Linked DNA regions of Struthio camelus. The protein of the gene in region 2 purifies or fractionates together with the protein of the main gene of each other region. This does not show direct contact. Links are inferred from orthologs where the notes say so. Each region holds a gene or a part of one and is shown on either strand. Other genes may lie near its edges.

Evidence for each region.
Region 1: the proteins of MARCHF5 (region 2) and MFN1 purify together in Homo sapiens (affinity purification with western blotting; 4 studies listed by BioGRID, with this or other methods). This does not show direct contact. The link is inferred for Struthio camelus from reciprocal best matches to the Homo sapiens genes MARCHF5 and MFN1.
Region 3: the proteins of MARCHF5 (region 2) and MFN2 purify together in Homo sapiens (affinity purification with mass spectrometry; 5 studies listed by BioGRID and IntAct, counting the BioPlex papers as one, with this or other methods). This does not show direct contact. The link is inferred for Struthio camelus from reciprocal best matches to the Homo sapiens genes MARCHF5 and MFN2.

The regions. Positions count from the first base shown.
Region 1 is NC_090950.1:24,790,948-24,800,474, reverse strand, and holds the start of MFN1 (mitofusin-1), read left to right. Parts: upstream 1-5,613; 5' UTR 5,614-5,640; coding exon 5,641-5,663; exon of another isoform or gene 5,664-5,988; intron 5,989-6,739; coding exon 6,740-6,861; intron 6,862-7,495; coding exon 7,496-7,631; intron 7,632-7,995; exon of another isoform or gene 7,996-8,099; intron 8,100-9,527. Other genes in the region: ZNF639 (zinc finger protein 639), read left to right, coding at 92-229, 524-1,671. UniProt on the Homo sapiens protein: Mitochondrial outer membrane GTPase that mediates mitochondrial clustering and fusion. Membrane clustering requires GTPase activity. It may involve a major rearrangement of the coiled coil domains.
Region 2 is NC_090948.1:18,851,979-18,862,434, reverse strand, and holds the start of MARCHF5 (E3 ubiquitin-protein ligase MARCHF5), read right to left. Parts: upstream 3,741-10,456; 5' UTR 3,458-3,740; coding exon 3,414-3,457; intron 1-3,413. UniProt on the Homo sapiens protein: Mitochondrial E3 ubiquitin-protein ligase that plays a crucial role in the control of mitochondrial morphology by acting as a positive regulator of mitochondrial fission and as an important regulator of immune response.
Region 3 is NC_090962.1:6,946,942-6,956,447, reverse strand, and holds the start of MFN2 (mitofusin-2), read right to left. Parts: upstream 3,758-9,506; 5' UTR 3,694-3,757; intron 3,663-3,693; exon of another isoform or gene 3,567-3,662; intron 3,312-3,566; exon of another isoform or gene 3,300-3,311; 5' UTR 3,148-3,299; intron 2,863-3,147; 5' UTR 2,859-2,862; coding exon 2,684-2,858; intron 2,003-2,683; coding exon 1,867-2,002; intron 1,504-1,866; coding exon 1,341-1,503; intron 791-1,340; coding exon 666-790; intron 372-665; coding exon 263-371; intron 166-262; coding exon 58-165; intron 1-57. Other genes in the region: PLOD1 (procollagen-lysine,2-oxoglutarate 5-dioxygenase 1), read right to left, coding at 5,818-5,973, 6,139-6,264, 6,559-6,705, 7,116-7,220, 7,572-7,637, 7,917-8,030, 8,568-8,709, 9,502-9,506. UniProt on the Homo sapiens protein: Mitochondrial outer membrane GTPase that mediates mitochondrial clustering and fusion. Mitochondria are highly dynamic organelles, and their morphology is determined by the equilibrium between mitochondrial fusion and fission events.

The DNA.
Region 1 (9,527 bases), on a different chromosome or scaffold from region 2:
GTGGTAAATCAGATCTAGGGTTAAATTAAAGAAATGATAGTGATAGAACGGATGAATAAGGACAAGAAAAATCCCTATCTTATCTTTATAGGCAGATTCCACAGTCCTGCGCAAAGTCTAGATACTGATGATGATGGGAGTCCAGTGCATGCTGGGACTTCTCAGTGGAGTGGATCGCATTCAAATGTTGTGGGGATGCACTATACAGACCCCAAAAAGAAAGAGAAAGGTAAATGTAGATGCGTATTTTCAGGAGCAGCCCCTGCTTGGCTTCTGGGAAGCTGGAGAATATAGATGTTGACTTTCAATGTAGTTACGTTTTCCTTTTTTGCTTTGATGGAAGAGATGAAGGATTCAGAGTTCACGTGATTTGCTCGTTGAACACAAAGCTTACTCTGTCCAGTGAAAAATAACTGTTTTTTGCACTTGTAAGCTGATACAACTAGTTGAGAAGTTAAATATGGACCCAGGTGTTTTGCAGCGTTTTTTTTAATCTTTTGCTTTTATCTACTTCCTCTTTCAGAAAAAGCTGCTAATAATGGAATTTGCAAGGATATATGCGATTCGCCTATATTCAGTGACAGCCCTACAGAAGAAGAGAAACCCCTTGATATTCAAACTGTAGAAATTTCTACAACAGAGGTTAATGCTGTAGAAGTTCACGATATAGAAACGCAAACTGTTTCACCTGAGAAGCTAGAAGCTGAGGACCTAGAGGAAATCCCTGTTGAAACCTGTAAAATCTTTGAGAAGAACCAGGCTTTGAATATCACAGCTCAGCAGAAATGGCCTTTGCTGAGAGCCAACAGCAGTGGTTTATATAAGTGTGAGCTCTGTGAGTTTAATAGCAAGTACTTTTCTGATTTAAAGCAGCACATGATCCTGAAGCATAAAACGTGTACAGACACTCCTGTCTGTAAAGTTTGTAAGGAGAGTTTCTCCAGCAAATTGCAGCTTATTGAACACGTGAAACTACACGAGGAGGATCCATACATCTGTAAATATTGTGATTACAAAACAGTAATCTTTGAGAATCTAAGTCAGCACATAGCAGACACTCACTTCAATGACCACCTTTATTGGTGTGAGCAGTGTGATATGCAGTTCTCCTCGAGCAGTGAGTTGTACCTGCACTTCCAGGAGCACAGCTGTGACGAGCAGTATTTGTGTCAGTTCTGTGAGCATGAAACAAATGATCCAGAAGATTTGCATAGCCACGTGGTGAATGAACATGCATGTCGACTGATAGAGTTAAGCGACAGCTATAACAATAAAGAACGTGGACAGTATAGTCTCATAAACAAAATCAGCTTTGACAAGTGCAAAAACTTCTTTGTGTGCCAAGTGTGTGGCTTTAGGAGCAGGCTGCATACAAACGTCAACAGGCATGTAGCTATTGAACACACCAAAATATTCCCTCATGTTTGTGATGACTGTGGGAAGGGCTTTTCAGGTATGTTGGAATATTGCAAGCATTTAAGCTCTCACTTATCTGAAGGGATTTATTTGTGTCAATACTGTGAATATTCAACAGGACAGATTGAAGATCTTAAAACTCATTTGGATTTTAGGCATTCAGCCGATTTACCTCATAAATGTACCGATTGCTTAATGAGGTTTGGAAATGAAAAAGATCTTTTAAGTCACCTTCAGGTACATGAGACAGCTTAATTAACATTCTTTCCCTGTAATCGATTCGTTAGAATGGGAATTCTTTCCAGTCAGTCACTAAAATGTGAAGTTAAATACAATTTAACAGCGATTGTACAGTGGAAAATACTCACGCTTGCTCTTTGTATCAACAGAACACGTATGACAACTTGGCGTTGTGAATTTTCTTACTTGGGGGTTTCCGTAGGAATAATCGCATTTAGAGTGTGATGGATCAGATGCTGGGGGGAGGGACAGTGGGAGTAGTTGCCTGTTGTAATAGCTGTTCTGAAGGTCATCCTGTATTTTCATGTTTAATATTAAAGAGCTGCTTTCTTAAGAGTTTTAAAAAGAGACAAAGAGAAAGCCAACAGCTAGTTTCACGCTTAAGTAACTGTGCTTGCCATAGCGTTCACTTGCACACCGAACTCATGTTACCCTCTGCAGCAGCAGGTCAGCGTGCTTATGTCTAGCAAATTGCACTGGCCGGCCGAAGATAAGCGTAAAAATTCCCAGGCACGCAGTCTCTAAAATCATATGTTAGCCTGCATTTCCCACCCCCTGCTTTTGATAAGCTTTCAAAATTGACCTGTTTCCTTGGAGTACCTGTCCTACGTCGTGGTTTTGCTTCCTGTCTTTCTCTGTGCAGTGTTTAATTTCGACATCTGTCTGTGGAACCGCCCAGCAATACCTTCTAGTGCTTCATCAACTCCCACACGTTTACAACAGACTTCCCCTATTGTTTTTGTCTCCTTCGTTTACCTTCAGCCCTTATCTTTCTTTTGATACGTTAATGAGATGTGTGGCCTGCCTGTAGGTCGGGTCAGGTTTTAAGGCGCCATTGTAAGGGAATTTGCCAAGTGATCCAGCTGAGAATGTACGAAAAGCATGGTCTTTGCATGTAAAATCGTAATTGAGCTCTCGCTAAAAGGGTGTATGTCAGCAACCTCATTTAGAGCAAGGCTCTATTTGTTTATACTATTATAATTCGGTTACTTTGTGATTAGCTTTCTGCCGCTGGTAGTTGGAGGACAGGTATTTTAATTCTGTAAATTTTAAACTTATCCTATGTACTGGTTTAAAGCCCCGGCACAGTACATAAATTCTGTTAACTTTAATCATTTTCAAATGATTTTGCACATCACATTCAATAGTACTGTCTTTATATTATAATCTTTAAAAGTGAATTTTTAAGCTTCATCCTGTAGCTGTATTTCTGAGTGACTGATGCTTGGGCTGATAGTAAGGATGAGATCATTTAGATTGTGGTAGTTATTGGGGTGAAATTACCCCTATGTAAGTGGTGGAATTTCAATGTCTTTCTGTATTGACTGTAAACTTGTATGGAAGATTGTCTAATGCAAGCTTTGTATAAATCATGTATAAAACATTTCTTGAACAAGGAGATTTGGTGTTAGTAGCAGCAAGGTGTGTAAGGGTCTTTGCACTGGATTTTTAAAGGTAGGGATAAAAATTGGCTAAATTCAGTCAGCTTATGGAAGTTTAGTTTCTCGAGAAGTGTTTCTGCAGTCTAACATGAGCCAGTTAGCGTATGTTGCTTTGCAGGAGGCAAGACCATTTTCATCATTTGGAAATGCTGGTTTGCTACTGAATCTTCTGTGTAGTCATTGAAAAGAACAACCTGATCCCACAATGATTGTATTTTATTAATCCATTTATAGACAGTGACAGTGTCTGTAGAATTGCTAGCTTCCTATTTTGAACACGTCTATCCTGGCTGGCTTGCTATGGTAGCAATAACCTAGTTAACAAAGTAATAATAAGAACTAATTTGGATATGGAAAGTTAATTTTGCTCATCTTGGTATAATTGAGGAGGGGCGAATGCCAGTCCTCCTCTTACAAGCAGCTCCTGGTGACACACAGGTGGAACGGCACTGATGAACACTGGAGAGCAAGCCACTTTTTTTCGGAGACTGACACTAAGAAGGGGCCGCACTGTGGAAGGCACAAGAGAACACTGGGCTTTAGCGTGTCCCATCCAGGAAAGGGAGTTTTGTAGGCGCCGTGGAGCGCTGTGATGCGGAAAAGTTCCTTGACTCCTGAATAGCTTCGTGCCTCTAATTGTTGACTTACGTCCGTTTCTAATCTGTGAAATGGGAATTAAAAGAATACGTCATAGGAATGTTGTGAAGACCACTTGTTCCTAACAAAAAACCACCACGGTGTCTAATTAGCAAATATATGAAATTGAAATTTGTCTTAGGTTGAATTTTATAAATAAGAGAACAGTTTTTTTTTCTTTTAATATCTGCAGAAGGTAAATGGGAGTTTACATGAGCAGGTGGCCTCATTTTACCTTAGCAAGAACATAAATAGGATATTTGCTTCCAAATGCATGTTAAACATGACAGTGTGTGTAGTAGAAAAAACAAGTAATAAGAGTTAAGTCTGTCTAGAAGTTGGGAGGCCAAGAGGAACGGTTGTACATGTCAAGGACTATCTGTTGCTCCCCGCTGAAGGAGTTTACAAGGTAAAGGCTGTGAATTAAAGAGGAGAGGTTTGGTTTATTTACAGGAAATGCGTTAAGTGAAAGGACAGTGTTCTGAGGTGTCTGCATTAAGGTGAATTAAGACGACTTGAATGCTGCTGGTCTGATAACTGCCAGAGACTTGCATTGTCTTTATTCTTACAGCTTGAGCAATTCTCCTTGGTCTTGAATTAGAGAAATTACCTGTGGTAGTCAGAAGGGAATTATGCCCATATATTTTTTTTTTTCTCTGAGATGGTAAATAAGTGGGTCAAATTGAGTGTCTTGCTCCAGTGAAACCCGCAAGGTGCAGCTATCTGAGTAGCAGCATTCTACCTGGAAGCTTTACAGAATCACAAGACTGGCTTCAGAAATAACTTGTATTTGGTTCTTTGTCCTCAGGCTTTTGAGCCTTTAGGTTAACTGTTGTGTATTTTAGCTTCCTGGATCATGTTTGTTATTAAACAAGAGAACTTTTTATACGAAAAATTCTGCTGACTTGAAAACAAAATGAAAAACCAACGAATTATTGCAGGAACTTAGGATACAGTGCATTAGTAATTCTAAAATGATGTGTTCTCCATAATGCTTATTAAGTGCTGTAGACTTTCATGGTTTTCTGTGGTTCTCATTTTCCTGTGCTCTTTCGTGGTGATGTATCCAATATATAAATTATCAGTGCTTTTGAACTCTATAAAGTATTTTAGCGTTTGTCGTTTTAGTTAACAGCTGACTGATTAAACTGTGGTGCTGACAGTATTCAGGAATCCAAAGTCATGGTTCATGTTTTTAGATGTTTGTGACAACTTTCAAGGGCTTGGAAGCTGAGTGTTTACAATCTTAGATATGAACTGGGAGGAGCAGAAAGCTTATGAGCTGCTTATGAGCAGCGCAGGACACCGTTAGGTATAAAAGACTTTCAGTTCATTGAAGCTACGGTTTTATGTTGTGTTTTGCATCACGCAGCGCCTTGTAACAGCTGTGTCGGTCTACTTCTGGCTTTTCCAAACAGTTGCTTGGTACTTCAAGCAGCTTCTCCTCTTCCAAATGTTTGTTAATTAAAACAACAGTGTTAGCCCTACCTACTTCGGATTGCACCTAAATAAACAGCACGTCCATGAAGTGAAGCTGCCATCCCGGTAGACAAACGGCCAGGCAGCAGCCAGCGTCGGGGGTGCTCTGACAGAAAGGGCCGAGCCTCCCCATGGGCGGGAAGGGTAGAGAGCTTAAGATGGTCTCATCTCTTCACACGGTCCCGCTTGTAATTTCTGAAGGGGTGAGGAAGTCCTAGAGCTAGGCTGAAGGCGAAGGGAGGGCGTGCACTGCAGCCCGCCCGGCCGGGCTCCCCGCGCGGCAGCCTGCACCGCCACAGGCGAGCCCCCGCCTCCATTTCACAAGCACCGCGACGCCGCCGCTGCCCGCGCCCAAGATGGCGGCTCCCTCTCCCTTACGCACTTCCGGCCCGCGGTGAAAGCGACGGCTTCTGCGCTCCCGCCCAAAATGGCGGCGGAGCCGGGAGGAGGGTGAGCAGGAGACGGAAGCGGAAGCGCCGCCCGCCCGCCCGTCCCGTCGCGTCCCGTCCCGTCCCGTCCCGTCCCGTCGCGTCCCCTCCCGGCGGCGGGCAGCGGCAGCAGGAGGGAGCGGCGGCGGCCGTTGCCGGGTGACGGAGGCGCGCGCGCGCGGGGCCAGCGGGTCGCTCCGTAAGTGAGGTGCCGCCGCGCGTCCCGGCCTGGCGACCGCTGCGACACCGTCCCGCCGGTCCGGCCTGCCCTCGGCGAGCGGAGCCGCTGGCCGGGCCGGGCCTTTCCCGTGCGCTGCGCGAGGGGAGCCCGTGACCTGCGCGACGGTGTGAGGCAGCTGGCCGGGTTTTAGCAAGGGAAGGGGGGGGAAGAAAGGCTGTTGGGTTTGGAAAGGAAAACTAGAGGGTACAAAGTCTGTCGTGAGCCGCCACAGGAGTGTCTGAACGCGGCGGGGAAGGTTCTTAAAATATATATATATATATATATATATATGCTAAAAAGAGCTTTGCGGAGTGGCACGGCAGCTCGCCCTTGCCCGGCGGCGGCGGCGCCCCGAGGAGAGGCCGTTGGAGCGGGCGCGCGGCGGCGGGGGCAGACGCGTGTTGGGCTGGAAAAGGCAAAAAAGCCGCCGGCGCGGGTGTGTGGTGCCGGCACCCGGCTGGAAACTGGGGCGAAACGTTGCTCCTTAGGTAGAGTTCCAGCTGGGTAGTTTTCTAGGTGAGCTCGTGTTTGAAGATTGGCTGCAACTAACCCGGGGATTTGAAGTGCTGTGGCCGATGTTTTAAATGTTAAAGTTTATACCAGCAGGCGAAGTAGGGTGTTCTTGGTGTTGTGAGAAACCAGAGAGGAAAACTTAGTCTTCGTAGACTTGTTTTTTGTAAACCCCCCCCCCCACCGCCCCCGCCGTGACTAGGGAAAAGTAAGAGTTTGTCAGGATAATAAAATTAGTGTAAATTAACTTTTATTAGCGTTCATTGTACTTATTTTCTTAAACGTTTACTGTGTGAGACCTTGCATGACTTTTCGCTTTTGTTGGTGTCCTGAGTGTTGCAGTGACTTTTATGTAACTTTCCCGACAGTTGCACAATGGCAGAACCTGCTGTGTCTCCACTGAAACACTTTGTGCTGGCTAAAAAGACCATTACTGCTATCTTTGACCAGCTGTTGGACTATGTCACTGAAGGAGCAACTTTTGTCGAAGGTTAGTTTTCCTCTTAAACCCAAGGGCCTTGTCTGTTGCTTTGAATTCGCTTTCTGGTAGCACAGCGTGCATAATGATACACGTTAATATGCCGTACGTGTCAGCTTATTCCAGAAAAGTTGCGTTTTTTTCCTCTGAGTTGGATGCTTTCAACTTGGGCAAGCTGGAACGCTTAGGCTGGTTACATATACGAGAGGCTGGGGAATTATTTGGGCTGGTAGCCTAGCCTCCTTGCAGCGAGGGTGAAGGCTTGACCGCAGTCAGTGTTAGCAGTCGTGCAGTTTCTTCTGCACAGACAAGGGACCAGACAGGTTCTCCCAAAATTCAGTACAAAAGTCAGTCAGCTTGTCAGAGCACAACGGAGCACTGGTTACACCCTCAGAAGTGTTAGTAGTGCGGAGGAGCATGTGTTGCCAAGCCAACTTGGCTGCTCATCCCGCAGGTTAATCCTGACAGGAGGAGAGAGCCTAGCCCTGATGTGTTTTTTTTGTTTGGTTCAGTTTGTTTACAGTTGTATAATTAAAATTTAGACAGCTCTATGTTGGCACGTGAAGTACTGATAATCTGTGTCTTGTATCCTGCAGCATGTACTCTGTATGTGATTGCTTTTGTGCTATTCTTTTTGTATGTCTAGGAACATACAGGAACCCAGAGCTTGAACATGTAGCAACAGAAGATGAACTATCAAAGATACAGGCATATAAGGATAAGCTAGCAGTCATTGGTGAGGTGCTTTCACGGAGACACATGAAAGTGGCATTTTTTGGCAGGTAATGGATAAAATTATCAGAGCTTTTTTTTTTTTTTTTTTTTATTCCTTTTTCCCCTCATGCAGGACTTAGTGACCGTATTTTCTAAGTTTTATGCCCTGGCTTTAGTGTTTCCTCAAAAAATTATTGTTTAAAACATTATATATTAAAACATGTTATTTTGCTAATTGGTGCTAAATCTTTCTTTGATGCCATCTTGCTCCAACACTGTAGCTTAATTACGTACATCTTGTTACGTGTTTGTCATTGATAAACTATATAAAATAATTATTCTGCGTAGATCTGCGATTTGATTGAGGAGGGTCTAAGATTGTTGTTTTCTTCTCCAGAATGTTTATTTTAACTTGATGGTTTTGTTTGTTTTAGTATCTTTGTTTTGCTGGACTGTTGTTTATAAGAACTGTGGTTGGTGTTTGATCACAAGCAACTGTGGAAGAACTACTCTTTGGGCTGCTTTTGTTTCCACGTGTAAGCAACTGATAACAAAGTTAGAGAAACTTGCCTTGTTAATCATTAGTTTGCTATATCCCTGTGATGATTATTAGGGATGACGTATATATTACTGGCGTACACGTAAATCTGAATGAAGTTATGAAGCTATGAAGTTAGGCTCTTCTGTATCACTGACTGGGAGAAGTTCTAGTTCAGACCTTGGTACTGTTACCGCAGACTATTGCATCTTTTACATGTTTAAGTAACACTTCCAAAGTTTTGAGCGTTTTAAATTCCCTTCTGTTCCAAAAAAGATATTTTAAGAATTAGAAAGTTTTTAACTGAGGTTAGCTTTGGATCATCTAATCTTTAATTTTTTTATTTATGTATCAGGCAAATGGAGTTAAAAAGTAAGGTGTTTGTTGCACCCAAAAAATATGTTGTTACATAAAAAATTAAAATATTTTAAAGAAGTGCTGCTGGCTACTTAGACCCAAAGCAGTAAGGTTCTATGTCTCTTTGGTTGTAGCCGTGTTGTGCTTTATTTTTCAGTCTGATCTTTATGGAACAGTTTTAAGTTTTCAATGGGAAGCTTTAGTTGGGTTTTAACGTTTCCGGTTAACGTCTGCAATCCAGACGTTGTGTTCTGATGTTCTTACAGAATTTGGAGGCTGTAGAAATAGACTGGGAATCCACATTACTAAATGGGAAGTGAGATATCGAGTAATTAAGTCCTTCCGAAAGACTAAGGTTCCAGTGCTTTCAGAGGCTTACGTGCCTGGTTAGTCTGGTGTCTCTTAGTCCCATTTGCTCTGAGACCATTTGCTATTTCTATGCTTAAGGTGTTTTGTTTTGCTTTTTCCCCATGTCTTTCTCCAAAACTGATCTTCATGTTTTAATTTTAAAAATGCCCTAATAGTACTAAAGAAATGTGTACAATGATGGTCTTGCTACCTTCATTTTGCTAACAATAGTTCAGCTATTAAAAATAAACAGTAAAAGGACCTGTGATAAAGGAAGTGATTCTATCTGAGCCTTGACATTTCGCAGAGGTAAAAAAAAAAATGCGTTTACAGCTATGATTCCTGGTAAAAGTTGCTTTTGCAACGGGCAGGAGTTCAGCACAGGGAAAAGAGAACTAATTCAACTTTAACTTGGAGATCTGTCCCCAGACCAACGCAAAGTTTTGGAGCGAGACGTTGGGAATAATTTTTTAAATTATCGTATAGTGAGCACTAAACTGCTTTTCCAGGAGAAGTAGCTGAAGAAACCAAATTACGATGTATGTTCACTGCACCCTGTTGTGTAATAGTTAAGCTGCAAATCTTTATGGGTGGGGGGTAAAAGGTTAGTGCAAGGTAGGATATTGCTGAGAATTAACTGGAAGCTCTTACAGAGTTTTGAGTTGGTGAACAGTTCCGCTTAATCGACAAGAATTTAGTTAATTTAGTTAAGAATTTGGTT
Region 2 (10,456 bases):
CTCCAGAAAGTGGTGCAACTTGATGGTGATGTCTACTTACGCCTCTTGTATTTATGCTGTAGCCCATCTTTCAGATAAGTATAAAATCACTAGCTAGATATTTCAAGTAAGAAACTCAGTTCTTTTGACAGGCCCACCTTAACAGCTATTAACCCTTTGTTAATAATGTGTTGTTTGCTTCCAGACTGAAATTGTTTAGTAAAAATAAAGCAAGAGAGAGCACAAGAGATATGAAAGAATGATGAATCCTAGGCAACAATTTTGAAGTGCTATCGAGATACCCCTTACACTGGAGAAATCCAAACTGCTTTATTAAAAAAAAATAGAAGTCATACACACGTACAATCTAAGAGTCAAGAGAAGTCAGAAGTTCTCTTGGACAAATAGATAAAGAATTTGGTAGGAGAACTCCAACTCTTGCATACAAAACTCCGCATACATTCAGATCTGCAGCAACACCTCACTCTTGATACAACAGGAAATCACAACTCTGTGTTACCACCTAGATACTAAGAAAGAAAATACAATCTTATTTTTTTTTCCTCCTAATGACTTAAATCTTGGTTTAAAAAAAAGTCCTATTCACTGAAATGCTGTTTTGTGCATCTTGCACAGAGATATGAATCTGATTTAACAGTATGTGGTTTGTGTGAAATTATAATCCACTAACAGCTGCTTTTAAGCTTTTGCATATTTTTTTTTCCTACTCAGGAAAACATCAACCTGTCATTAGCAATAAAGATAACTGGGTGGAGAAAGAGGCACTGCAAACCTCTCAGTAGCTTTACAGAGGATCCTTCCGCAGGCTATGCCCCTTAATGGGAAATGTTGAAGGTTTATCTTGATGATCACTAAGTACAACATGAAAGTAGTTATATGTGATTTTGAGAAATACCAAACGAATGAAAATTGCTTTCTAGTAATGTAATCCCTCTCCCCTAAACCCAAAGGGTAACAGAAAAAAAAAAAAAAAAACTTGCACTGACTCTTTTTAGAGGCCTCAGCCTGTACAGAATACAGTATTGTACTGTATTCTGAATTCAAATCCTTAATAGCTGGCTCCTTCTTACTGCTCTGTTCACTGCTTCCCACACTATTGCTGCTAAAGTCTCTTAAACTGAGCCCAACAAATTCTTATACAAAAGCTCCAGTCTTTCTTTTCACACCTTCTTTCATGCTTAAAACTCTTATCTAAAACTTTTTCCTCTACTGTCCTTGTTGCCCAGGAAGTCAGGTATGCTTTCAATTGCTGTATATTATCCAATCTGTTATTCTAAGTTTACTGGAAAGTGTCTTTGAAAAGGGCCAGGTATATGCACTGCAGTTTCACAGAGCTGAAAGAAAGGATTAAGAATATTAAATACACATCAAAACCCACATACCCACTTGGCCTAAGAATTAAAGAGCGGTAAACTGGTTTGGTGACTACTTAAAAAGTTTCACTTTTTTATTAACTATTCATTCTAAGTCTGTCACGACCTTGTTCTTTAACTATTTCCAATGTGACACTTGGTTTTAATAATTTTTAATACAATTTGTTGCAATAGTGTCAATAACGGTACTTTTTCTGGTATAGGCAATGCTCTAGAACCTCTTTGAGGATAGAAAGAAAACCATACACACAAAAAAAGAAAAAGACACTTTTAAAGCGTAAAGTCAAAAAAGCATCAAAAATATCATGGAAAATATTATATTTTTGCGGTCTCCTGCATGTCACAGTCCCAAATGCTGATGCAAGCAAGCATCAGCGAAAGGCTTCTATTTTATTAATTCGTGTCAACTATGTTGCATCAACTTGCTGTTCACAACGCATTATGAATACTACCTCACAGTTCCCAACAGGCTAAACTAGGACTTCATGATATGATACTATAATCATAAACAGTGGGACACCCACTCAGAATATTGCCATTTCCCAGGCCTCTAAAACCTAGAAATCGCATATCATCAAGAGTACAACACTTCAGAGGAAGATGAAAATTTTAGTTGCAGAGAAGTTGATTCAGCAACACTCTTCCTGATCTTTTTCAAGAATTTTTTTTTTTTTTACTTCCTACAAAATGATTCTACCATCTTCTTCCCACTTTTTATTTTTCTTAAATCCCATCCCCTTTATTCCCTACATTCACAGGAAATATGCCAAACTGAATACTTTCCTGACAGTATCTCCAAAAACCATTCAAATCCTGCAAAGACATTTAGTCTCCTGACTGCTAGCCTCCTTGACAGGCATCAGTCTAGATTATAACCTAAATCATCCAGTTTTTCCTCATGCTACTCTAGTTTTTCTAAAATATAGACAATCAACTTTCTCTCTCTCCCTCCCCCCGCCAACTTACTTTTATCCTCTATCTACATTAAACTGAAATTCCTCATCCTCACCTTCAAGGCTGTACACAGCTCTGTCCCTGCCTCACATAGTTTACACTTCCATCACTTGCCTGATGATAGTCTGTATTTCACTAAATCCTCTTTCCTTAGAGGTGACCTAGAAAGAAGAAAAACACTGGGATTTTTTTTGCTTCCTTATGATGAAAGCTTGGCAGGTTCATCAATAGAGATTTCATTCCTGTTGGGTCTCCACCTTCTGAAATACCAGTCTATCATACCTCCTGCAATAACATGCCATCAACTCCTATTTGCTGTTTATAGGGTTAGACTTGCAGGGCTTCCTGGATGACTCAAAACTGTACACTGGGAATCTTCAACCCTCAGTAGAATAGAGTGAAAGTGCCACATATTCAAATAAAAGCATAAGCAATAAGTATGTGTAGTAAAGACATCTTAAGAGTAGCTAAACATCAGTCCTCACCTAGATTTAAGTCATATTAGTTTATCTTAAGAGTCTGTACTTTTTTTTTTTAAAGCTGTGCTCCAAAAGGCGCTTTTACACAAAACAACAGCAGAATACACAAGGCCAGTTAATCTTACCTTCTCTTTTGCTGTCTTACCCTACGTGCATCTCAACGCTGTCTATACCTACAACATCTCCTATACCCCCAGGAGCTGTACAGCCTTTAGCGCCCCTTCACCACCCTTCCAAAAAAGCCGCTTCAACCTAGACACACCTCCTCCCACCCAAACGCTTCCGAAGGAAACCCTTCCCACTCAAACCACCACCCGGGGGAGGACAGCGGTGCCCGGCTCCACGTTGCACTGCTTTATGCCCGAGCTCACACCGCTTCGCCCGGATCACCAAAGTTTCCCGAAGCCGAAAAGTGAAACCAGACGCGCGGTCCGGGCCCAGGCCCTTCTCCGTCGCCACCGTGCCTGGGCCGCCCGCCAACGGCCGCGGCCCGAAGCGGCGCACCGAAACACGCCGCCGCCCGCCTCCCCCAGCCCCACGGCAACCACCCCGCCGGGAGCCGCGAAGGCTCCTTCCCCGCTGTGTCCGGCCCGGCGCTGCCCCGTACCTGTCCATGGTCTGCGGCAGGGCCAAGCCCGTCTGCTCGGACATGGCTGCCGCGAGGCCGCGCTTCCGCGGCGCGGGGAGGTGCGGGCCGAGCCGCGGGCCGGCGCCTGACAACGGGGGAGGGGAGGGGGGGGCCGCAGGGGCGCGCGCGGAGGGGGCAGGGCAGGGCAGCGCGGCGGTGCGTTGCGCAGCGCAGCCGCCTTCCCGCGGCCGCCCCTCCCTCGGCAGGCGGGGACGAGGCGTGCGCGGGGCCGGTCGCCCAGGCGGGACGGGACGGGACGGGGCTGGGCTGGGCTGCGCGCAGCTGCTCTCAGCTTGGGCCGCCGTCGCCGCCGTGAGGGGAGGCGGCGACTCCTCTGTGAGGTAAGAGCTAAGCGGCGGCCGCGACACCTCCCGCCCCTCCGCGCCCCCACTCGCCCCGGTGCGCCTGCGCCAGAGCACAAGCCGCGGCGCCCGCAGCACGCTGGGAAATGTAGTCCTGGCGCCTCCGGGAGATTTAAAGGTCCCTTGGGGCGCGCCCCCCTCCCCCGTTTTCCTCTCCTGCTGTCGCGCTCCCCGGCCCTCCCTATGCCTCTCCTCGCTGCCGCCGCTGAGTAGCCGCTGCCGGCACCGCGCGCGCGGGGCAGGTAGGGGACGTGGCGACAGGGCGGCCGCGGTCGTGTGAGGGGAGCGGGAGGGGGAAGGTGCCCCCGGCCCGCTCCGCTCCGCTCCTCCGGGGGCCGCGCGGGGTGGGCGTTGGAGAGGGAAGCGCCCTCGCGCCTCCGCCCGCCGCCTCGCGGCGCGGCCGTTGCCCTGCGCGGCCCCTCCCCCCCCCCCCGGCGCGTGAGGGGAGGCAGCGCCGCCGCCGCCCGCCTCGGCCTCGCCCAGCCGGCAGGTGCAGGCGGCGGCCCTCGGGCCAGCCCCGGGGCGAAGGGGCCCCTGCAGGTGCCTGGTCACCCCGGCTGGGCTGGCGAGGAGGGCGGGGGCTGGCGCAATGGGAGGGAAATGAGCCCGTTTCTGTGGGTGTGTTGGCAGTGACGAGGTAAAACGCCCTCTTGTAAAGTGGCCCTTGGCACTTGGGGAAGGCCCGGCAGCCTCTGAGCCCCCTCTGGGAGTGAGCGGGGTGAGGGGCAGGGCGGTAGCGTGGTGGTAACCGTAACTCGTTACTTCAGTTTGTAGGCGTGCTTCCTAATGGGGGGCGGGGGAGAGCTTCTGAAGTGCTTTTAAAATCTGTCTTATGTTCTAAAGTTGACATACGGCATCACAGCCTAAGAAACTGGGAATTTATAATCTGAAAAGCGTTTAGAGAACAAAGAGGCAGATGGTGCCTGGAGAAAAGTTATGTCCCTCCATCTCCACCACGGGTGCGCGATGCCTCTCTTCCACTCCTCTCAGTCCAAGCGTAGCTGATTTGCTTGTATGTAAAGGTTCTGCGTTATGTCATGTTCCCCCAGCAAAGGATGATGTCATGCTTTCCAAAGACAGTTAAAACATTCCAGATTCTTGGGAAGCTTGGTTAGTAAAGATCCACTGTGGCCTTTCCTTTTCAGGTTGTATGATTTATATACATATTTTTTTAATAACTAGGCCTTGTAATGAATTTTGTTACATGTAACAAGTCCCTGATACCTTGTATAAATTATAATCTGGTTATACTGCAATTACTGCACAAGGTGGTAGTTTAGCAGGCCCGCCCCACAGGCAGACAACCACATCAACATGCATCTGTTTTTGGTTGAGACAAGTAGCATTTGCTTGGTGGGTATACACGGCTGTAGAGATAAGGTAGAATAGGAAGCTGATCTTTAATGAATATCCTGAATTGTCTGACCCAGATGCCTTAAGCTATGGAAAAATCACTCTGAGAGTCTCTGGGGAGAGAGGTGTTGTAAAAAGGGTTGTAAAAAAACAAAGTATTGCAGCATTGTCAGATTACAGAATAATATGTATGTAGAAGTTGGTTACACAGTTGGAGTCCCTCAACTAAGAATGCATTAGACCTGAGTTTATGTACGTTATTTTAAGCTTCCACCATTATTTTGGGTCTGAGCTTATCCTTCCCAGATCTTATTTTCCATTTATCCTTTCACACCTTGATTTGGACTTTTAAGCTGTGCTATATGTATGGATTGGGTGTGGGAGGGGTGGGTTGTTTGTTTTTTAATTACTAAGTACCATAAACGGAAATGCTGAAGTAGTTACGTTGAGGTAGTTGTATTTTATTGGAAGTATGTACAGAAGGAGAAAGGAAGAAGACGTCAAACTGACATCCTAGAAAATTTATTTGGTGCCTACTCTGAGGACAGTAAAATTCAATTTTGCTTGCGCTGCTAAGAAGTCTTGGGCATGCGGTGGCCTGGATACACCATACATGGATGACTTCCTGGAAGAGAACCCAATACGCACTTTGCCTATTAGTCATACAGCTGTTTGTGAGATAGAAGAGGAATATTAGATATCCGAGTTCCTGGTTTCTAATCTTGGTCTGGAATTAGTGTGTTGTCTGTTGACCAGAGCACTGATCAGACAAATACTTTGGTTTTATATATTTATCCTCAAATGTTACAAACCGGACATAAACCAGGGAGGCTGGCTTTATTCCTACGGTTATGTGATTTGTGTAATTTCTGTATTTCTGTTTTGGAGGTTGGAAGGATATATTAGGTGCCTGCTGTCTAGGATAAAGCTGTGAGGTCATGATCAGTAATAATGGCTGTGAACAATACTTACCTGAAGAAATGTAACCAGAACCCAGGATTACTTGGCTACTATATGAGGCTGAAGAGTAGTCTTGAGGAAGCAGGCTCCTTTGCTCTACCACTGGCATGTAGGGAGGGATGACAAGACTGGACAAAACTTGAATATCAGGTCAGATGGTAAACACCTAGCAGACTTGTACATCATATTTTTTGCAACCTTCAAGCATAAAAAAAATCAGACCTCAAAACATCCTATAAATAGCTTAAAAATCGTGAAATATAAAAGCTGATTTATGCCTCCATACTGTTCCAGGGTTTGTTGCGCAGCTAGGGGTATGCATTCTCAATTTGTCTGCTCATCTCAGAATCATCAGAAAAAAGTGTGATATGAAAACACATAGATAAACACCTGGGTCTACACTTGGAGAGAACCCTCCTCATTGCCTGACAGAGCAGGAGTTGTCATTCCATCCTCATCTCTTCCCCCTAGCAAGACCGGATATGCAGCTGCTCTACTCAAATGCTTTCTTTATTCTCCCCAACAATCTCCTACTTCAATTCACTTTCCCTCCCTTTTTCTCTTCCTTTTCCTTACACTTTTTATTCTTTATTCTTCCTACTTTGCATTGGCAACTTCCACTATAAAGCTCAGGTTGCCTCTTGCTGCTTTTGCAATTTTTGAATTATTGCTTCCCATATTATTCCCTAATAGATTGCTCTTTCTTCCTTCTTTCTGTCTCCGAGATGTTCATTGCACTGTCTCACTCTGTCCTCTCTTGTCTAAACCTGGTAGTAGCTGCATTTGAGCCCAGTTAGACGCAACTCTTCTGGGAATAGACTCCCTTTTGCCAGTGCAAGTGAAGGAAAATGATTGCTACTAACTGAGATTAGACTGAGCTCAGCCTCACTGATACTAACAGGAGCTGGCAGCTATTTTGACTTAAATAAAACTTTCCCTTAGAAGGCAGGTATGGAACTTGATGAAAACCACTAAAAATAATATAAGCGATTTAGCACTTTAAAAATTGAGCCCTGAATTTGTCTATCAGATTTATAAGTTGACAGGTCATCTTTTAAAATACTAAATTGTTTGGTAACAAACTTATTCAAATTTAAGTTTAATAAAGGAGTTTGTAAGCAATTAATGTAAGAATAAATATGGAGCTAATATTAAATGTTTACCTGATCATTTCAGCAAGGCCTGAAAAAGAGGCTGAATAATGAAGTAACAGTTCCTTAATACAGTTCTTTTAATGTGATGACACTGAGTGTGCCGGAATTGCTCACTGTTTTCAGCAAAGTGAAGTAACCAGGCAATATGAAAGTATTTATTCTCTTTAGGCAATACTCCATTTTAACTGCTAGGATAGCAATGTATAAAATAAATGACAAGATCAGTTAGGCATTTTATATCTACTTAACTCCATCATGAAAAGACAAGGAGCCCTCAGTGAAACTAAAATGAAGCAAATCTAACCTGAGAAAGATGCTTATATAATAAAACTCAGTTTTTCAATAACATAATGCTTTCTTTTAACCTTCAAGCTAGTTGAAATGTTCACTTTCTGGTAAAAAGACTAGCAAAGGTTGTTACCCATAGTAGGCTTAAATTACTTAATAATGAATTTCAGGAAATAAGAATATACTGAGGTATTTCAGAGAATAAAAATACATTGAGTTAACTTGGCTCATTTGGGCCTTTCTTACATTTGTTTCTTTGGAACTTGCCCAGGTCAAGTAATTCAGATATCAGATTGAATGAAGCTCTCGTGTTCTGATATAGCTGTTCTTATTATCTTTTTAACTTTCAGTTACTGAAGAGTTAAACTGGTAGGAATAAAAATTGTTTTTCTTCTAGTGGCTACTAATATAAAAAACCTGCCTTTACGCCCTGACTTTCTTGGTTATAAAGTGCTTTTCCATTTCTGGATGTATAGTGAGCCCTCTGCTCATCTTAATAATTAATCTGCAAAGTGAAGCTGTCACCTGCAAAAACCTGATAGCAAGGCTGTGGTCCCTTCCACATGCAACCTGAAATCATCTGAAAAGCAATAATCCAGAAATAAAAAAGGGACATAAAGGAGCGGTATTCAGTGAAGAGAGCCAGCCCTGTACTATCTGGGATATTTCAATAAATGAGGAATTCTCAACTGCTGTAAGAAAGCAGTTTTCCTGGCCCTTAATGCTTCAGAGTAGCACAAACAAGTCAGAGCAAGTGTTGAGAAACTCTTAATTACAGCATTGATTCAAGGCAGGCAGACCATACAGTCCAACATAAACAGACTGTAGAAAGCAAAGACATAAGTTTTTCAGCAACCTGTTTTCAACTCCCTTAATTTCTTTTTCTCGGCTTTAGTCATCTCTCTTTCATCTGTAAAGCAAAGTATATTTCGTCCTTTGAACAATCGGCATACAATTTTATAGAACGTTAATGTTTTCACACTGCTGATTTCAATTATGTAACTTCCATACAAGTGTAAGCGCTTGGTCCGGAATAACCAGAAACTTAGATATTCATGTATAAGACAACAAACACGTATGTCTGTAAACTAAATTCTGAAAGCTACAACCTGACCTATATTGATCATCAAATCATGAGGAGAGGAATGATGAGAGGAATTCCTTTCAGGCTGTGTAGCTGTGTACTGAAGTAGAGGCTGGAGATATGTGGATTGTGGGTCTTGGAAGGGAGGCAGCTAAAATGAACTGCAGGGTACAGGGCAGATGGAATGTTAAATAGTAAAATTTCCACTCTTTTTTTTTTTTTTTTCCTCTGTAGGTTTGCCAGGGTATTAACAATAATTAGGAACTGAAAAGTGGTAATTTGGAAATCTGAAACTATTCGTATAGCACAAATTAATGCCTATGTGCTAATTTTTATTTGTTTAAAAAAATTACATGCCCTATTTGTATATGAGCTTTAGAGTATGTTTTTAAAAACGATACTATGACAGGTTAATATTTTCTTCAGCTAAGAATCATGACACAATCTCATTTCTAATAGCTGTAATCTTTCTATAGCTGGTATAAGTTATGATTAATTTATTGTGCTAGAATAGTTTGGCTAGTGATTGTTGTTCTAACTAGGTAGCTATTTGATCTGGGTTTATAAATTAATTAAACTATTAGGAGCTCTTATTTTATTATTGACTTCCAGCTCAGTCTGACAGTTATTTATTTTCCGAGCGCTAGTAATTCAGACTGCAACACTTTTCCCTGGAGAGAGAGAGAGAGAGTGTGTGTGTTTGTTTGTGTATTTTTTTCTTTTCGAGCACTCTTCCTTTCAGGTCGCTTGTTCTCACCACAGACATCAGGGAAAAGCTATATGCAGATAAGACTTCAAACCCCATAATTCCTTGGGAGAGCATGCGCTGTATCCTTCCAGTTGTCAAAGTGCTCTTGCCAAAGTGGTCGCCTGTTTGTCGTATACCAAACCCGAAAGAGGGAAATAAACACACTCTCATTTTATTGATCTTTAAATACAGAAAATCCAAAGGTAACTGTTCCTTAAGAATTTCTGCGTTGACTGCGTGGGTTACTGCACGAAACGGAGCGGTTATTGCTATGGGGATATAAATTTCCTGTACTGGATTGTAAATTTGCACAAGTACTTACACCAGCAGATAATCAAGAGGTACTGCATATTAGTCCAACATTAGACATTGGCTGGCCTGTCTTTCAAAGTCATTTATTATCCAGTGTTTTTCCATTCAGACTGGCTTCATTCATTAAAGGTAGGTCTTGACCTTGGCAAGAGGGTTGAATTATGCAGAAATTTTATCTTTAAGAAGTAATATGAAAACGAATGTGAACTGCAGTCCTCAGGATAAAGTTCAAAAACAAATAGCTAAGTCAAGGTACATATTTGAAACAACTGCTGCGGTAGCAACTATAGATAATTTGGTGACTGACTGATTTAAATATACTTTATTGACAACAGAATGTTAATGTTTCAGCTGCTATGTTTTTCTCTCTCTATATATTTTAATATTAATGTCTCAGAAACTGGGGAGGGATAAACATTGTGTTTTTTTCTCTGATGTGGAATCATTAGCAATTTTATGCAGCCTTAGAACTAAAGGTGATTTTGATAGAAATGCAGCTAATGGAAAGCTACACAGAGCTTGGAGTATTATGGCTTACTGCAGTGTCGCTTTAAACTGCCTTGCAAGGTTTTCTGCACCCCCAGCAGCAGCAGCAGTGCTGCCCTTTTCAGTTGCAATAGTTTATTCCCCTCTTCTTAGGAACTTGTCGTAATGCTGTCTCACTACATAGTCTGTTCATGAACCCTTGTTGTTAGGCTTACATACTAAAAAGGGAAATAATAGAGAACACGAGCAGTAACCTAATTGATAGCTGACACTCA
Region 3 (9,506 bases), on a different chromosome or scaffold from region 2:
TCAAAATGGACTCTATAACGTTCATGCAAAAAGAAGGACTTTAAACACACCACAAACCTCTTCCATGTATTCTGGTTCAGAAGCAGATGCATCCCAGCGGTTATTTAAGATAAATATATTGGGTCGAGACAAGCGTTCATTCACCTTGTGGAAGAACTGTTTCTCCTAGGCAAAATGGAACAAAACCTCTCAGACTAACATGTCAAAACGTTTAGACTTTTAGCCAAATTCACCGAACATTAACAAGAGGACTTGAACATACAGTTTGCATCAATGTAGATTCAGAATTTGCCACAAGGACAAATACATCAGCATCTAGACAGAACTTGTCAATCCAGCTGTCCAGCTCTGTGGTTACATCAATGCCAGGGCTAGCAATAAAAGGAAAAAAAGACATTACTACGCTGTGGAAACATCAGAAATACAATTTAAACACAAACAAGTAGAAAGAAAACACTCCAGCTCTTCAGGCATTCATTTCCCACGTCTGAGCTACGCTGGGTTCTGAGGTGATAAAGAGTGCCGACCAAAAGGAAATAAGAGTAGAGAGAAACCCTGTCTGTTAATTACAGACAGGGTCAATTTCCTTATGTTTGTTACATTTGTATTTGAAGACTTTTTTGTACTAATGCTGTGATAAGCAGGAAAAGAAAGATATCTCTCACCTGTCCATCAGCACCAAGTCATCCTTTAAGAGAGGACATTTGGAATTGGGCCACATAACACTGACTAAACTGCCAGCATCCAGAAGTTCATCTTGATGAAGAGCGTGAGCAAGTTGGTTTACGGTCTGTTTAAGAGATGGACAATTTATAACTTTTCCTGTGTGCTAAGACATGTTAACACAATTATCTCCCCATCAGAGCTGTTCACGGACAGTTTAAAAAAAAAAACAAAAACCAAAAAACACAGCTTTAGGTCATTTCCAGAAGATATAAAATGTGCTCAAGTCTCCTACTCAACAGGCAACCACCTGGTAAAAGTTTGATACACTTTCCTGTCAAGAAAGGCTACTGAAGAATCCTCAAGAAGGCTGTGACTTCTGTCAGTCAGTCAAAGCTTGGAAGAACCTTCTGGGTCATCTTCAGTTCCCTGCTATCACTGACAACTATATCATATAATCCATAAAATGAACAAGTGGCATCCTATAGCTTGCTCTACTCTTCCTGTCCTTCTTATACCAAAAACCTGTTCTTCAGCTCTTCTCTTTGAATGATAAAAATCCTTAACTGTGAACCCAAATTTATTCCTAGTCATTTAATTGTACTGTTCCTTTTCTGCCACTTTTAAGAATGGGGACAGAGCTCTCCTCCTTTATCTTAGGCTTAACAGAGTTGTACCTTGACGCTCTTCTTTTCTTCTGAGCCTTCAGTAAGCAGGAAAGCTTCATGCCCATCTGTTCCTTCTACACGCAGGAAACAGTTTGTGGTGTGTCCAATCCCTGAAGGAAGGACTTTATCCCATAGCATGGCATTTATCACAGTGCTTTTTCCGTTGCTTGTCCTGAAGGTAGATTAAAGAATGGTATAGATGAACTTCTGAGATTCAAGTATACTCATTCCGATATCAAAGACAGGAAGTTCTCAAAACCTAGCCAGTTCCAGAAGCATTAACAAATTGCGTGCCATAGGCAACTTGCAAAAGGATCACTCCATTTTCTTAGAAATTCTCCAAATTGAGTATTGTGTTTTACAATATTTTTTTTCCGATTTACAACAGGACTAGTACCAGGGACTTCTGCCACACGTTGCATTTCAGAAGCTGGATCACTCGTGTTTCTATAAATATTTTTACTGGCTCTGATCCTAAAGATGCCAGTTGCTGTACTGAGGATGGCAGCGTAGGCAACATGAACACGTGACTTACCTTCCAAAAAAAGCCACTTTCATGTGTCGCCTTGCCAGCACTTCGCTAATGCCACTGACTTTTGAGAGGTAACCTTTGACTTCCAATACCTGCTCTTCTGTGGTGACAGGGTCAAGCTCCACATTCCTGTGTGTTTCTAAAGAGTCAAAATACACCATGCCTCAGAATTTCAGAAGTAATCCACCTCAGTACTCAGTGAAACACCTCTGTATGACTTAACACATGCAACTAAATAGCTGCATGGGCAGCCTTGAAACATGCAATCATGTCCCGAAGCAACTTTGCATCAGCATTTATCAGCTGGAAACTTTTGTATTTCTAATAGGGATTCACACCCTTAAGAGTGCCTTAAACAGAAGGGAGCCAACATTTCAAACACTCCATCCTCCTTAAATAATCTGCTGCCTGGGTTTTAAGCTGTTAAAGTCAATTACTGGAATGCATTACATGCCACTAGCAGTGACACCGAAAGGATTATAGAACATAAAACCTAAACGACTTTGAATTTTCCATTTAAAAAAAAATTCAAAACAACATAAAAAACCCCAAAAGGCAGCTAACATCTTTATATGCAGTTCCACAATAAGCATAAACTTAAGTGAGCTTTAAGACAAAGTCCGAGCTTCACTCAGTAGAATGATTTTCTCTCTTTCACGTAAATATTTGCATACAAAGGTGTACACGTGCATAAATAAAAATAAGAACAGGTCTAGCCGTGCCATTTAACTAAATGAATCTTTTTTGGTGTGCGTGCATGGGGAATTACTGAAATAGTCAAAGCTCTCTTACAGAGCTGTAGTTCAAAAATATAGCCTACCTTCTAGGAATGAGGAGCTCTCATTGATGTATGCAGCCAACTGCTCAAAGATACCGTTGATTTTCTTCTTTGCAGTGACAAAATGTTTAAGCGGAGAAGCATTTACCTCAGCCATGTGTCTTTTATCCTTCTTCACTGCAACAATTGACTTGGAACGAGTAAACAACAGGGACATTGCGCTACAGGGAAAAATCCAGTAAATAAAGGTAACTTGCCAAGGGTCAACTGCTATTTAACTAAGCCTCCATCGTTTTAAAAAATTAAAAAGGCAGCTGTCTACCAAGAACTAGATAAATATGTATTTTAAAGAAAGCAATTTTTCACAAACAATTTACCCCATTTTCTGCCATTAGAAATTACTCCAATACCAGAAAAAAAAATACCAACTCATGTTTCCCTCTCTCTTCCAACAGACAGGCCCACAGCCCACCTCAGCGATGACGTCCCCCCTGCGGCCCGCTTACTTTGAGGGTGAGAGCGACGTTTTCACAGCTCCGGCATGGTCCGCGCCGCTCTGCCTCGCGCGTGAACGATCCGCTCCTGCCGCCCCCCTCTCCCCGGCCGGACCCCGTCCTGCAGCTCCTCCCGCGGCGCCGACTCCCGCCTACCCCCGTCCCTGCAGCAGCAGAGGGGCCGGGGCATAAGGCGCTGGAGTAGCCCAGCGCCGCCCGCCATCGCCGTCTCCTCAGGCCTCACAGGGCGGGCGGCGCGCGCCGGGCAGTGCCCCCCCCCCCACACGCTCAAGGGCGGGAAGCGCGCGCGCCCCCCCCTCCCCTCCCCTCACGCGCCGGGCAACGGCGGGAAGCGCGCGCGCCCCCCCCTCCCCTCTCCTCACGCGCCGGGCAACGGCGGGAAGCGCGCGCGTCCGCCCCACGCCGCGCACCTCTGAGGGAAGGCAAGACCCCGCCCGCCGCGGCCGCTGCCCAGCGCGGCCGAGAGCCTCGGCGCAGCCAGCCCCGAGCAGCACCCGCCGCCGCCCACTTCCCGTCAGGCAGCGCTCCGCCTCTCACCTTCACCGTCTCTCCCCCACGGCCGCCATCTTACCCCCACGGCATCGTCACCAGAGACGCCGGAAGCGCCTAAACGTCATCGCCCGGCGACCGGCGGGAGCTTTCCCGGCGCATCACGGGAGTCGTAGTCCCAGGCCGCGCCCCTCCCCCATCCCCCGCGAAGGCTCACGGGAGCTGCAAGCGGCGACGCCGCGCCCTTCGCAGGCGCCATGACAGGACTGAGAGCTACTGCGCACGTCAGCGTTTGGTCATGGTTTAATGTCAATTCTCCCGCTTGAAATTGTACATCTCGTGAGAAATACCAGAGCACAGGAGAGCCCGAATTAAATTCCCATCGCTGTACTGGGCAGATTAAAAACACAACTAAATAAGTGGAAAAACCTGCTGAATAAATACATACACCTTTTCAACATCTTCTCGCTAAAAGGCCTCGGCGGTCCCTTCCTTTGGTAACAGCATGCAAGTCACTTGACCGGGATTTCAGTAACAAGAATTGTTAGTTAGCTTAATTTTTCACTTTACAAACTGATTGTCCACGCCTGGAGTTTTCTCCCTTTGGTGTGCATGAGTGTGTAGCGTTCGAATAGACCTAAAAAGCACGTGGAAAGCAGCGGAAAAGGGGCTGTGTTGCTTTCCTGGGGTCCGTTCAAACTGTGTAAGATTCCCCGTCCACACTTAGCACGCCTAAAGCTACGAGCAGTTCTGCCTGCGTTAACGTGCCCAGTACTAGACGAAGCATCTCTACACCTGACAATCAAATTAGATGGTAGAGTCCAGAGGCAGAGATAACTTAGAGGAGGAAGAGGTTTTTTTTTTTTCCTCCCTAAGAACAGTTTCTGATATTAATTTACTGCTTGCGAAACGTACTAGTCTGGCAGACCCAGAAAATAAAAAGTTTCTAAGAGGCAGAGCTCATAGACGACAGCAGAAAACGTTTCTCCCTGTTCCCCCTCCAACATGCATAAACCGTGACCTCTATTCTAGACAGATTTTTATACCCATCAGTCCACCACAATCTCATAGCGCTTTCTAATCATACACTTCTATCACCCTCCACCCCACCGCAGAAGTATCTACAGTGGAGTGTTTTGTTGGGGAACTTCAAGCGACGGGAATACTGAAAATTTATCTCCTCTAAGTACCAGAGAACAGTTGTTTTCCAGTGATGGCCCATTCGAGTTAGATGCAAAGAAAATTATCAAAACAAGCACTAAGAGCTGGAGTGAGGCCATCAAAAACCACTGGTGCCTCTGGATTGTTATCAGATGGTTAGAGATTTTGACAAACTTAATATGGAATAGAGCTGAGCTGATTCAGCAGTAGAGCCCTCCCGGCAGATCTAGTTATTCTCAGTTTTCCCTTTTTTAGATTTTATCTACACATACTGACCTGATCTGAATTTGTCTGGGCATACAGGCTCCCGTCTAGCTGTGGTAGTAGAAGATAGGGAGGCTATTTTTTTAATCTCCTCAACCTAATCCCAGAGGTAAAGTATAATAAGCAGACCTTCCTTTAGCTAACAGGAAGCACCTAGATGGCCACTGCTGCCGCTTTGAACTTCATGATACATTTCCAATGAATGCAAAGAGGTAAGGAATCAGATGAACTTCAGGCTCTTACTGCTGAGTTTCATCTGGTATTACATTTAACTGTTATGACTCCTGGAGCCAGCGCCCTGATGATTTTCTATTTGGAACAGTGTCCAGAAATGATTCTCTAATGTCCATTCCTGTATATGCAGTGGATGGAAATGGGCTGCCAGCTACTTGGAGAGAGAGCTTGTGACTTGCCTCCAAAAAGCTGGATTTCCAGTCCAAGAAAGCACTTCTGTAAAGCCACCCGAGCAGTGAAGTTTCAAGTAAATCGCATTTCCAAGAAACAGTGGATGAGGAGCAGAATCAGAAATGAAGGCACAAAATCTCCGTCCAAATTCTACAAAAACGTTCCCAGATATTACCTGCAGAGAGGGAGATCTTCCAGTAGTGGAGTCTTAAAATATCATTAAAAACCAATATCCAAATAGCTTTGATCAATGCCTTGGAGACTCTCAGCAGCATTCCCTGCTTCCACTCAAAGTCAGCAGTGAGTGGGGCCAGGGAAAGGTCCTTCTTGTTAGGCATAGCTCTAGGGATCAAGAAAGGACACTGCGATATAACGAGTCCCCTTGGTGGTAGGAAGGCCTTCATGATAGTGAGTCAGGCGTCCTGGATGCATAAGGGTCCAACCCTTTCGTGGAGCTCGAATGGAGCAATTGTAGCGCAGGAAGCGGCAGCCTCCTCCCTGGGAGAAACAAAACCAGAGAGCATCAGTTTGGTAAAAGCGGGTCAGGGAAAGGATCTCTGCTTTCTCCTGGAAGCCCTTCTGAAAGCATGGGAAGGTGCTTGGGGAATCTCTTGCCGCAGGTATTCAAAAATCTGCTGTCCTAACCCAGTCAGTAGCACTTACCTCATAGTCTATTCCAACTCGGTTCAGAGCAATGTTAATGGTAAAGGTGGAAGCGTCATGATGAGGCACTAGAGAGGGCTGCTCATCAGGTTTGTAGCGAACTACAAAGGCTAGCTCAAACTGAGTCTGCAGGGGAGAAGAACAAAATAAACACACACGTTACAGGGCTGTATTATTCCATAGCTACTGAGCTCCAAGCATGGTGTAACATTTAAATTGTATTTCACTGCCAAGAGAGAAGAGACCCAGTAAGTCAGGAGAACGTCCTCACAACATCGTGTACTTCCTGATGCATATACTGATGTTATACTGCAGCGTCAGTTCCTCCGTACTGGGAAACAGTATGCATATCGACAGAGGATCCTAGGGGCCCTTTCCTTTACACAGTTGCAGTAGTAGGAGGTGCCAAGGTATACCTACCTTGGTATAGTATCCTGGGTACAGTTTCTCCGTGATGGGTGCAATATAGTCCAGAAGAAACTTATACCACTCTCTTTCAAAGCCAATTTGGTTCATGTGGATGTCAATAGTTGGGACATTCTCATATCCCCCTTGTATTCTGCTGTCCTGAAATTGAATCATCAAAATATCCGTGAGGATGGGCACCTTGGACTTCAGGTATGACAAACACTTGTTTCTGGTAATTACCATTAAATATAAGATTTCTTCATGAGGCTTTTCAGGATGGAAAACTCATTCCAAACATTAATTAAACCCACAAGACAGACAATCAGACTACCAGAAGGGCTGAACATTGTAGCTTCAGAGGATACTACAGAGGACTCAGAAAAACCAATTCACATATGAGAACATGTGCAAAATCACACAGTTAACCAGGAGCAAAATTAGGACTACTGCCTCCATTTTCCCAGTTTAACTGCTGGATCTAAGGCCATCTTAGAGGAGACGCTATTGCCACCAAATACTCATGGAAAATGATGTGACCTAGAAGTCAAGAAACTCCTGCTTTTTCTTACCGTATTGTCACCTGTGGACCACTGGCCATAATGTTCCATTTCTTCCACCAGCTCATCACATGCAGCCTCAGTGAATATGGGGAACCAGTAAACATCTGGGCAGGGCTGGAAAAAAGTGGACAGGTGAGAATAGCAGAAACAAGGGCAGGTGCTTGAGAGAAGAGGAAATAAACCAGACAGATGGTAGATAGGGTCAGATTAAGTGGAAAATAACTACAATATTGAAGACAGAAATTTACCTTCTGATTCATGTGCCCTGCTTCTACTTAAAGACAGCTGAACAGGTACTTCTGAAAGAATGATTTGGCCCTAAAAATACTTCCAGATGAAACATGACCTTGAATCTGAAAGACTTTGAGGTAGTGCTGAGCTGCTTACGTCTAAGACTGGTGATAATACAAGCATTATCCTGATGCTAATCTGCCATTCTGATGGATAAGAGCAATGTTTTCTTACCACTTCCACCAATTTCCCTTTCAGAGCTGCTGTGTAGTTTTCATGGATGTACTTTTCTCTCCAGTCCTGCGGTTAAAAGATAAGCAAACTAGTCATTTTTGTACAGCCTGGCTAAAGAGGCAATGAAAGGCCAGGCACTGCAGCAGCAGTGTTTCACAGGCTTTGGAGATCTAGATGTTGTTACAAATCACATAAACACCCTCCCTTTAAATTCTGTGACTGTGCTCCTCATCCCACCTGAGAGACATCATACAACAAAGCCCGGACCTTCCTTATCAACGAAGCTGATCATCAGATCTTCACATCCCACAATGCTCGGCCTGCTGAGCGTGCCAGTTATCTCACCTCAGGATTGCTGAATATTTGCCAGAGGTCATTGTGGAGATGAGTTGTCTGATAATTCTCCAGAGAGAGTATGTGTCCAAACTGGTGCCGATTTGTCAAGTACATGAAAACCCCCTGCAGGAAAAAGGGAAACAATCAAACCGTGTTTCCAGGCCTCACATTCCGGTGAGCCATTATGAAATACAAGCACTGGACCAGTGATGATGGCTCTAAGCTGTTTATCTACTCATTCTTTCTCCCATGGGCCTCACTTTAGTTTCCACCCTGGATATGAGGAACTCTGAAAGCAGCCAGCAACTCTGGCTCTGAAAGAGCCAGCAATCCTGTGCCTCTCATCAGCCACGGATGGAAGCAGAGTAGAGCAGGTGCCCTAAGATGAGCTTCTTCCTTCTTCTCCTGCTGTCCCCATTTAGAACAGCCCTGAATAGGTCCAAGAACAAAAAGGTGATCAGCATTTAATGGTTCCTGGCTCTGGGTGGTTTCACAGCAAGACAGAAATCTCACACTGTTCCAAGACTGCAGAGGATCAAGTAACGCCAATGCATCCTGTCCCATGGCCTGGCAGACACGAATGCCTTGAAACCGCTCTATCTTGTCACCTCCACTGTGGCATGCGGTCCTCCACTGCCAGCCTCTCTCTCCTCAACTGACCTGATTCCGAACGTTGTGGCAGAAAGCCATGTCAGCATCCAGCTTTCCACTGTGGAAGAGATCTCCCTGGTCAAGCTCTGATCGCAGAGTTTTGGCTTTAACCATGTAAGCGCCACTGATATAGGGAACGTTCCAAAGCCCGCTGAAACACAGAAGTAGGAGACTAAGACATGAAATAACAGCAAGAAAGAAACTGCAGGACTAGAGGGGATGGCAGGCAGCACTGCAACATCAGCCAGGCTAGCCGAAATGAGCCAACTCAGAACAGTACGGAGAAACGATACCAACAGGAATTCTCATTCCAGGAAAAATCAGTTATATTGCCAGAGCTTCTAAGCAGCACAAATGCTAGTCTGCTGTGAAAGCAATTAATTGCTACTGTGTGTTTCTGTTAGGGACATAGCTAATGGCTTGAGCCTCTTCCCAGAGAGACTGACATTTTTTTTTTCTAACGATTTAAAATAACTGAACCAGCCAAAAGTGCATAAGCTGATTTCCAGCATTTATTGTGCATACACTGACCTAAAAAAAAGGGCTCCTCAAGAATATAAATGAAACAACAATACTATTTTGTGAATCTCTCATCCAAGGATCACCTACTGTTTTATGAAGACTGATAAAGGCTGGAAAGCTTTTAAGGGATTTTAAGAATCACGCTAACTATAATCTGCAGGTGGGAAATTTCAGCGGTCAGGACTCTCAACCCCTTACTCTGATCATCAGGAAATCTGCCTGAAGTGCGTACGGTCTCTGGACAGAGGAGAACACGTAGCAGATTCGAACTCGGAATAATATAGACTTCTTTTCCCTTTTTATACACAAGCACAGTAGTGCAGTCTATGTCTTTGACGTCAGCTAGTTTGAGGATCGTGTGCAGCAGCAAGCTTTATATTTAAGGGATTCTATCAGTAAGAAACTCTCTTTGTATACTCACACCCT